2 linked regions of the Arabidopsis thaliana genome follow. The protein of the gene in region 1 purifies or fractionates together with the protein of each later gene. This does not show direct contact. Each region holds a gene or a part of one and is shown on either strand. Other genes may lie near its edges.

Region 1 (4,759 bases):
GCAGTTGAAGCAGAAAATAAACAGAGTAACGAATCCAACATCACAAAACAAAACACAAACTGTGTGTTGTCTCTCTTCTTTGGTCTTCTCTTCTTCTTCTTCTTCTTTTTCTTTTTAAGTATTTTTATTTTTTGGTTTCTTGATCTCAGAAAAAATGGCTCTGAATAGTGTCTCCTCTGAAGAATTTACCTTCCCATCGCTAGCTTCTCATGATTCTTCTCACCATTCCGGTCTTGATTCACCTCCTTTGTGGAAACACTCACCGGTTACTTCCTTTCGCCGGAAAGATTACGACTTTGGTTTGGCAAGATTAGTCATTGGAAAAGACGGTGATCATGATCAGAGGAAGAGCTTCTCGTACGTGGAGATGAGAAGTCGTTGGATCGACGACAAAGAAGAGGAGAAAATGGATATGTTATGGGAAGATCTCAACGAAGAATTGCCTCCAAGAAGTCAGAGTTTGAGAATTGTACATGGCGGCGACGGTGGAGAGAAGAAAACGGCTTTGTTTCCCGATGAGAGCTCTGCCGTGGCCGTGGGGTGTGGGATGAAGTTATCGAAGAAGACAAAGAAGAAGACGAATCTGAACGTTTTGGTGTTGATGAGGGTTTTGAAGAAGCTTATTGTGTTGCGAAGTTCGTCTCAGAGGTCGCCGGTGAAAACTCATCCACGGTGATTGATCTCCACCGTGATAATTGTGAATTGGGGGGTTATTTTGTGGAATTCAGAACTTACGGGGCTTTTGTGGAGAAAATTGGAATTGTCTGAAAATGATTTATTTGTAGTTTAGTTTGGGTGGTTCACAAAAATTAATTTTAGGGTCCTAAATTTTTAATAACACATCTGAAGTCTTTTTTGGTTCTTCGTCTTGATTCATTTGCCTGTTCCGTGGGGTTTGGTTTGAATATGTATGAATTTATAAGATGAAAAATGAAAGAGGTCAGAATATTAGGGTGCAATAATAAAGGAAGGTAAAAAAGATTTGTATTTGAAACATTCCACTTGTATATGATATCACTTTTTAAATGTGTGATAAAAAAGATTTGTAACATCTAAAACTTTTGGGGGTCTTTATTTTAAAATGAGTCTTTATGAAATACAACTTTAGTCTGAATCAAAAAGGTTTTCTAAAAATGTCAAAATGTTTGTAGTCTTGTACACTTACTCACTAGTCACTTGGTTCATGCCACGAACCGACCTCCCTAAAATATTTCTCCAATTTGTTTTCTCTTTAAGTTCACAATAGTAGAGTTTTGTTTTCTCCCTAAAAGTTATTTCGAAGAAAACATGTTTTTTCTTTTTCCTTTTTAATAAATCGAAGATTCTAAACTTTAGTCTATAATCCCTCGAACCGAAAATTAGAATGAATTTTAATCCTCATGGGAAAAAAAATTGTACAGTAGTTTGTTCTTCTCTTTATACTAACGTGACCAACTACTTCTTGGTTTAAAACAAACATGTTTAAATTATCAATTTACTAAAACTATGATTCTATAGTAACATGTGAAATGAGAAACATTTCAATGTCAAAAGTCTGGTCCAATTATCGAACTACATAAAAACATTGTAATACCTTTTATATATATGAAGACCACCATTAATGTCGACAGAAAAGATAGCCATGAATCATATTCAAGCATCAAAACTGATTTAGGTATCTCCGGAATCATTGGGAGAAAAATTAGGTGACCTTCATATGAAAAAGATAGAGTAGACTTTTTTATTTAACACTACTTGGAAGACTTTCTTACCTACTCTCACTATAGACCCGATTCGTCAGAACCGGGTTTTGGATTCAATTTCGGATAACCCCTAAATTGGTACGCCAATTCTCAGTCACTCGGAAAAAAAAAAAACCTCACCTTTGTCCACGAATCGCAAGTGGGTCATAGAAAAATCGAAGCTTTTGACTGATCTCAGTCACTTTAGTCTCTCTGCCCACGACCCTTCTCGTCTACTAAGGGTTATCTCCATTTGCCCCTCTTCCTGACAACTTTCAGGTATTACTTGTCAATAAGATGTGAAATTGAGTATGTGCATCAGATGTTTCCTCTAGATTGAACTGATTCCACCTTTGATATGCGCAGACACGAAAACTGATGGGTGTGATCAATGTTCAGGGCTCTCCATCGTTCTCTATTCATTCTTCAGAGTCAAATCTTCGAAAGTCTCGAGCTTTGAAGAAACCCTTTTGCTCAATCCGGAATAGGGTTTATTGTGCTCAGTCTTCAAGTGCAGCTGTAGACGAATCCAAGAATATAACTATGGGAGACTCTTTTATCCGTCCACATTTGAGACAATTGGCTGCTTATCAGCCAATTTTACCCTTTGAGGTGATATTTAGATTGCATTGAATTTATTTTTTGACAATTATAGATGATTGGATTGGGTTGGATTGGATTTATCTTCTAAAATGTGTATGTTTGTTTGTAATTAGGTATTGTCTGCTCAATTAGGAAGAAAGCCTGAGGATATTGTCAAGTTAGATGCTAATGAGAACCCATATGGTCCTCCTCCAGAGGCAAGTCTATATCTTTCTTTCACTCATTCATAGATATGTTGATGACTGGAAAAAGGATAATTTTGTTAGTTAGTTAGTTGTCCTCTCTAACTTCAGGTTTCAGAAGCTCTGTGTAGGTTTTTGAAGCATTAGGCAATATGAAATTCCCTTACGTTTATCCTGATCCACAAAGTCGTAGACTTCGTGATGCACTGGCTCAAGACTCTGGTTTGGAGTCTGAATACATACTTGTAGGCTGTGGTGCTGACGAACTTATTGATTTGATCATGAGGTATGGCTTCAAGATTTGATTTTTCAGTCAATTGAGCTTCTACCAGAATCGTATTTTCTGACTAAAACTCTGTTTCTTGCAGATGCGTGTTAGATCCTGGGGAGAAGATTATAGATTGTCCTCCAACTTTCTCAATGTATGTGTTTGATGCGGCTGTGAATGGAGCAGGTGTCATTAAAGGTGAAAGATTTACGATTTTCATGTGTTTCATTCTCTTCGATTTTGCTTCTCTCTCTCTCTCTGAATGTATAGTCTTAAACATGTTGGTCTTTGTTTGTTTCACAGTTCCAAGAAACCCCGATTTCAGCTTGAATGTAGACCGCATCGCTGAAGTTGTAGAACTAGAAAAACCCAAATGCATATTCCTAACTTCTCCCAACAATCCAGATGGGAGGTAAAACACCACCACTCTAAACAACTCGAAAGGAAAAATTCTTTTTAGTAGTCCGTCATGATTATTAATCCGAGTTTCTCTTTGATACAGTATCATCAGCGAGGACGATCTGTTGAAGATTCTAGAAATGCCAATACTTGTTGTTCTAGATGAAGCTTACATCGAATTCTCAGGAGTTGAATCACGCATGAAATGGGTGAAGAAGTATGAAAACCTTATCGTTCTCCGCACATTTAGCAAACGAGCTGGTAAATTTTGGTTTATCACTCTATATAATCTAAACATTACAGATATAAAGTCTGCATCTAAGAATTCTGATGATATTTCAGGTTTAGCCGGGCTTCGAGTTGGATATGGAGCGTTTCCGTTGAGTATAATCGAATACCTGTGGAGAGCAAAGCAACCATACAATGTCTCTGTTGCAGGGGAAGTAGCTGCTTTAGCAGCACTCTCAAACGGGAAATACTTAGAAGATGTGAGAGACGCCTTGGTACGGGAAAGAGAGAGACTGTTCGGGCTATTAAAAGAAGTTCCTTTCTTGAATCCATATCCGAGCTATTCGAATTTCATTCTCTGTGAGGTTACATCTGGAATGGATGCAAAGAAGCTGAAAGAGGATTTGGCGAAAATGGGTGTGATGGTTCGTCATTACAACAGTCAAGAGCTTAAAGGTTATGTTCGAGTTTCTGCTGGAAAGCCTGAACATACTGATGTTCTCATGGAGTGTCTTAAGCAATTTTATTGACTTCCCCATTTGTTTGGGAATTCTTAAAACAGCGACACAAAAAAAAAACTGATTTTTTTTTCCTCCTTTTTTGTTTGTTTTCACTTGTTGGATTCAGTGTTTGACCAAAAAAAAAAGGATTCATTGTTTTTGTTTCAGTTAACAAGGAGAAGCTTTTGTTGTATTGTACTTTTTGGTTTGAAAATGGGCCTAAGTCCATATGTAAACTTGTTGATGAAGCCCATTAAAACTGAAACTTGACTAATTCGGGTCGGACTCAAATCAAAAACATACAGTATGTTGAGAAAGATGAAGTGAAGACAATGGTTGGTTCCTATAATCCATAACGTAGGTTTATCTTGGTTCAATTTTCAACTTTAATTTCTTATACATAAACCGACAACAATTTTTTTAGTAAAAGTTTGTTTTTTTTCATTCAAAGTGAGAAACAAAACATCTCAAATCTATTACAAAATATTTTTATATCATTTTTAGACTTTTGCTCATGCATAGTGCAGGTTAAGCACTTACTGCTTTAATAAATAAAAAAAACAAACTAGAATACTTAGAAAAATGTTGTCTTCTTACCTCCACTCCATAAATATAATATAATAGCTAAATGCCTTAAACCAGTTATAATGTAAAATAAAACAAAATTTTGGCCCTTGTTCAAGAAGAGCCATCAAAGTATCAAACTATATTCCTTTAAATAAGTACAAAGCTAATTAATTTTTAAAAAGTTTCTAATTATAAATAATTAAGCTGTAAAGGAACCTAAAAGAAAGACAAAAAGAAAACTAAAAATAAATGTAAGAGAAAGATGAATAAGTATGAGAGAAGCAAGAGGAT
Region 2 (5,192 bases), on another chromosome or scaffold:
TTTTTGAAAAATCTAAAGACAACAAAAGACTTTACAATTTAATAAAAAAATAATAAAAATACTTTATCACTCTCAACGAAATTGTTGATTTAATAACGTATCTCTTGGTAAAACAGCGTTTTATTTGACGAAATTGTTATAAATGAATAAAATGATAATAGAAACTAGTGTGGTACGTAAAATACCTCTCATTTGGCAAAATAACGGTTATGTATCATGAGTATTGCATACGACAGCGTGCTTAAATAGTGTGCTTTCAGGAGAAAATATATACCAAGTTATTTGCTGAAATTACCACGCAAATCTGAGGTTCGAATGGCAAAATAAAAAACCAATGTCATTTCCTTAATGTATTAAGGTCATTTAAATAAAATTGTACACTTTTTTCACCTGTAAGCGTTCCAAAGTGTAGAATGGATAACTAGAAGGGTCAAAGGTATAATATTAATAAGCGAACTCACTTTTTGCCCAAGTGATTTCACTTCTTACATTTGCTTGATATAGTTACCCAAAAGTGTATATATATTCCCTTATACAATTGTTCTATTTTCTGGATTATAAGGGGAATAAGAAAAAAGAAAAGAGAGAGTATATAATAATACTTTTATAAAGTGATGTTAGATTCTAATTTGTAACGAAAAGTTCAAAGTGAAAGAAAAAACGAAAAAGTTTTTCTGTTTTGTTTTATATCTATAGCCAAGAAAGTTTCTCAGATTTACAAGAAGTTAACTGAGAAAAACAAAAAAAAAACTTATGAAGCATGAAAGACTAATTAACGAGGTGATTAATTTTGAGACAAATTAAACATCGAATTAAAAGTAACATTTGGAGGGTTTATATGTTATATATGTGACATGATAAGTCCGATTCATGACTAATGTATATCTGGAATCTAACATGGAAGAATAGAGAACGAAGCAGAGCCAAGGTCAACTTGCCAGACACGAATCAACAGATTGTGAATGAGACCAAATCAATGGTCATAAACCGGTTGGGTTTAAACCGGCAAGTCATCCTTGGCTCAATTCCATTCGTTATTCCTTCATGCAAGACCCTCTGATACAACCAAAGACTCCCATTACAATATTCTTTCGATCACGAGCTACTTATTTTCAAATGTGTTACCTCTTTCGTGACTCTTGTGTTGTGTGGTAAAGCCTAGTCGAGATGTGTCGGTATATATAGGCATACATATACAAATGCGACAAAATAAGTATATTATATTGTTTAATTTCTATATTCCATTTCTATATGCATGGCTGGGATTTTTGACCAAAACCCTAATTCAAGAATAGAATCCAAAAGATGGGATCAAAGAATATAATCTAATGGGCTGACCACATTTTCCGATTTAATTCGCATAGTTAATATTCTTTCCACTACTTTATGCCGCAGAAATTTGTAATTAAGTAAGACAAAGAAATACAGATATAAGATGGTCGTAGAAACCAGTAGAGGAATTTCATTTTTCGTGGATAAGTGGAATATTAATAAGAGAATGGTCTTTACTCTTTACAGTGGGAAATGGGAATAGTAGCCCATTATAATTTCATCAGATTCTATATATGCATGTTTGTATAAGCTAAAATAAATACGTTTAAGCATTCTTCAAAAAAATTTACAAGTTCTAGAGACTCTCTTAACGTCGGCAATTTATATTCTACTTTACATGACACTTTCAGGAAAAGAAAACTATACTCACTAGCAGATCATTAAATTTTCTTTTTCTTTTTTTGAATGAACCTTAGTTGTGGTTTTTATTTTTGTTAGCTAGAAACTTCAGTGTTTTTTTTCCGCCAATGGTAGTGCTTTGATGATGGTCCGGCCCAATTCATAGAAGGCCTTGAAAATGGGCCAGACCAATTCAGAGACCCAACAAGCTCGACTGTATACACAAAATTCACAAAAACAGCTTTTGAGAAGTTTTCTTCTTCTTCACCTTATTTTCGGGTATCAAAGCCACAAAACCCTGAGAATGGCGGCAGCTACTCAATTTCTCTCCCAACCTTCGTCTCTCAATCCACACCAACTGAAGAACCAAACCTCACAACGCTCCAGAAGCATCCCTGTCTTGTCTCTTAAATCCACATTGAAGCCACTTAAACGCCTCTCCGTGAAAGCCGCCGTCGTTTCTCAAAACTCGTCCAAAACCGTGACGAAGTTCGATCACTGTTTCAAGAAATCATCAGATGGGTTTCTCTATTGTGAAGGAACTAAAGTTGAGGATATCATGGAGTCAGTGGAGAGAAGACCCTTTTACTTATATAGCAAACCTCAGATCACTAGAAACCTCGAGGCTTATAAAGAAGCATTGGAAGGAGTGAGCTCTGTGATTGGTTACGCTATCAAAGCTAATAACAATCTTAAAATTTTGGAGCATTTGAGAAGTTTAGGCTGTGGTGCTGTGCTCGTTAGTGGAAATGAGCTTAGACTTGCTCTTCGTGCTGGTTTCGATCCCACAAAGTAACATTCTTTATTTACCCATTATTGCCCTGTATCTGATTTAGAGAGCTTTAACTTCATCCCTATAACAAAGTGTTTGACTTGTTGATGGAATCAGTATTGATATGAATGGTATGATTTGGTGTAAAATGAATAGGTGCATTTTCAATGGAAATGGCAAGTCTTTGGAAGATTTAGTTCTAGCTGCTCAAGAAGGTGTTTTCGTTAATGTCGATAGTGAGTTTGACTTGAATAACATTGTGGAAGCTTCAAGAATTTCTGGTAAGCAGGTCAATGTACTGCTGCGTATCAATCCTGATGTTGATCCTCAGGTATGGTTAAAATTTACTTTAAACTTTAGCATCATGTCTAACATAATTGGTCTTGGATATTAGTTAGTGAGCTTTTCTGTTTTATACATTTTTCAGGTGCATCCATATGTTGCTACTGGGAACAAGAACTCAAAGTTTGGTATCAGGAACGAGAAGCTTCAATGGTTTCTGGATCAGGTCAAGGCACATCCCAAAGAGCTGAAGCTTGTTGGAGCTCATTGCCATCTAGGCTCTACCATTACTAAGGTAACACTCTGATTATAGTTGCTTAAAGTTGTATTTTGATGTAATCAGATGAATATGGATTGCTCTCTGTTTAGTGTTTGCTTTTGGTCCGTCCTTAGATCTCAACTCTTGAGCTCTACGTATTTGCGTATGTTCTGTTTATTCCAGGTGGATATATTCAGAGATGCGGCAGTTCTCATGATAGAATACATTGACGAGATCCGGCGTCAAGGTTTTGAAGTTAGTTACTTGAACATTGGTGGTGGTTTAGGGATTGATTATTACCATGCCGGCGCTGTCCTTCCCACACCCATGGATCTCATCAACACTGTAAGAACAACATCTCTTTCGTTCATTTGATCTCAAAAGTAGTGGGATGGTAGAATTGTTACAATCCTTGATGTGTTCCAGGTAAGAGAGCTTGTTCTTTCACGAGACCTGAATCTAATAATCGAGCCAGGGAGATCTCTGATTGCAAACACTTGCTGTTTCGTCAACCATGTAACTGGTGTGAAGACGAATGGAACTAAGAACTTCATAGTCATTGATGGAAGTATGGCTGAGCTTATCCGTCCCAGTCTTTATGATGCTTATCAGGTAAAAACAAATATACTTCTCACAACAGCATCTGCAGATTTTGGTCCCCTTTGAGCTATAGCTAAACATTCTCTTGTTCATGTTTTTAACTCAAAAGCACATTGAGTTGGTCTCTCCTCCACCGGCTGAAGCAGAGGTTACCAAATTCGACGTAGTGGGTCCTGTCTGTGAATCTGCTGATTTCCTGGGCAAAGACAGAGAGCTTCCCACTCCTCCACAGGTATGATAAGGATATGATTCTGTTTGGAAGCTCAGGTAATGTGGAATCTTATGAGTTTATTGTATTCATTACAGGGAGCTGGTCTGGTGGTTCATGACGCTGGTGCATACTGTATGAGCATGGCTTCCACTTACAATCTCAAGATGCGTCCTCCGGAATACTGGGTACCAACACATTTTCTTGTTCCAGGAGAATCAAGATCCCGAGAGAAATTGTCATGAATTTGAACTTATTTTCTTCAATGTGTTGTTTGTTTTTGCAGGTTGAAGAAGATGGGTCGATCACTAAGATAAGGCATGCTGAGACATTCGATGACCATTTGCGTTTCTTTGAAGGTCTATGAACTCTTAGATTTACTCATCATTGTTGCTTTTTTGATTGAATTGTATGATTATTCGGAATCAGGACCATAATGATATTGCTGTTTTAGATTTTCACATTATGTGCTTTGATTCAAAGTCAATGAAGTGATCATATGAATAAGAAAACGTTCACAAGTCAAGACAGAAAATAAGAGGTGATTCTGATTATAAGAGGAGTCTTTCAAGCCAAAGTCGTCCATTGTCCAAACACATAAACACTCATCTAAGCTTCTTCCCATAGCTATAAGAAGATTCTTTCAAGCTTTTTGTTCACAAGTTTGCTTGCAGAACTAAATGAATCAATAACTACAACTACTATGTCATTAATCAAGAAACTAAAAGAAGATAGTTCATAGTTCACAGGACAAGTAAAGTGAATTTGGTTTATCATGTAGTGACTTACCGCCACAAGTCTAATTTCATCATGGGTTATAAGGAAGATTCCAAAATAAACCTTTTAATGTGTAAATGAGACGGTGGCTGGAAACTTGAAGTAGCAAAATGGTCCCATGCGACGCCGTATTGGCGCGGCCACCTCTCTCCGCCATATAATAGAGGTGGTCCTTTAAGTTTTATTTTCTTTCTGTGGTTTCTATGTTACCGTACGTATCAATTTTTAAAAGCAGCTATACATGGTACGACGTCTAACAACTATGTTACCTGAATTGTCCCATCGGGCCATTTAATATGTGGATGGTTGCATTTTTCTTCTTCTAAGTGACTAGTTTGTACTTGGTAAAGTGTTTACGCTAACATCCATTTGTAAGTTTGATTCAACAAATTAACTTCAACAGTGAAATGAACATGTCTAATTTGGAAAAGTTTGATTTCAAACTGAATATGTTAAAAATTTCTCAGCATAAATAAGATTAATATCCAAATGTTAATTAATTATTTTATTTTCAATTGGATGATCATAAAACTTGCAAAATAATTAATCAGAAAAAGAAGAAGCAAATTTTTTAATTATACTTGAACAATGAAAACCTAAATCCCTGCAATTTGGCTTTTGAA

What was found.
Region 2: the proteins of HISN6B (region 1) and AT3G14390 fractionate together in Arabidopsis thaliana (co-fractionation; one large-scale study listed by BioGRID). This does not show direct contact.

The regions. Positions count from the first base shown.
Region 1 is NC_003070.9:27,065,069-27,069,827, forward strand, and holds HISN6B (HISTIDINE BIOSYNTHESIS 6B), read left to right. Parts: upstream 1-1,967; 5' UTR 1,968-2,000; exon of another isoform or gene 2,001-2,030; intron 2,031-2,054; exon of another isoform or gene 2,055-2,087; 5' UTR 2,088-2,099; coding exon 2,100-2,333; exon of another isoform or gene 2,334-2,437; coding exon 2,438-2,521; coding exon of another isoform or gene 2,522-2,525; exon of another isoform or gene 2,526-2,637; coding exon 2,638-2,792; intron 2,793-2,874; coding exon 2,875-2,972; intron 2,973-3,077; coding exon 3,078-3,186; intron 3,187-3,276; coding exon 3,277-3,434; intron 3,435-3,515; coding exon 3,516-3,931; 3' UTR 3,932-4,098; downstream 4,099-4,759. Other genes in the region: AT1G71910 (uncharacterized protein), read left to right, coding at 155-676.
Region 2 is NC_003074.8:4,804,796-4,809,987, forward strand, and holds AT3G14390 (Pyridoxal-dependent decarboxylase family protein), read left to right. Parts: upstream 1-1,874; 5' UTR 1,875-1,975; coding exon 1,976-2,463; intron 2,464-2,599; coding exon 2,600-2,774; intron 2,775-2,870; coding exon 2,871-3,020; intron 3,021-3,167; coding exon 3,168-3,329; intron 3,330-3,410; coding exon 3,411-3,596; intron 3,597-3,693; coding exon 3,694-3,816; intron 3,817-3,890; coding exon 3,891-3,980; intron 3,981-4,078; coding exon 4,079-4,159; 3' UTR 4,160-4,638; downstream 4,639-5,192. UniProt on the Arabidopsis thaliana protein: Specifically catalyzes the decarboxylation of meso-diaminopimelate (meso-DAP) to L-lysine.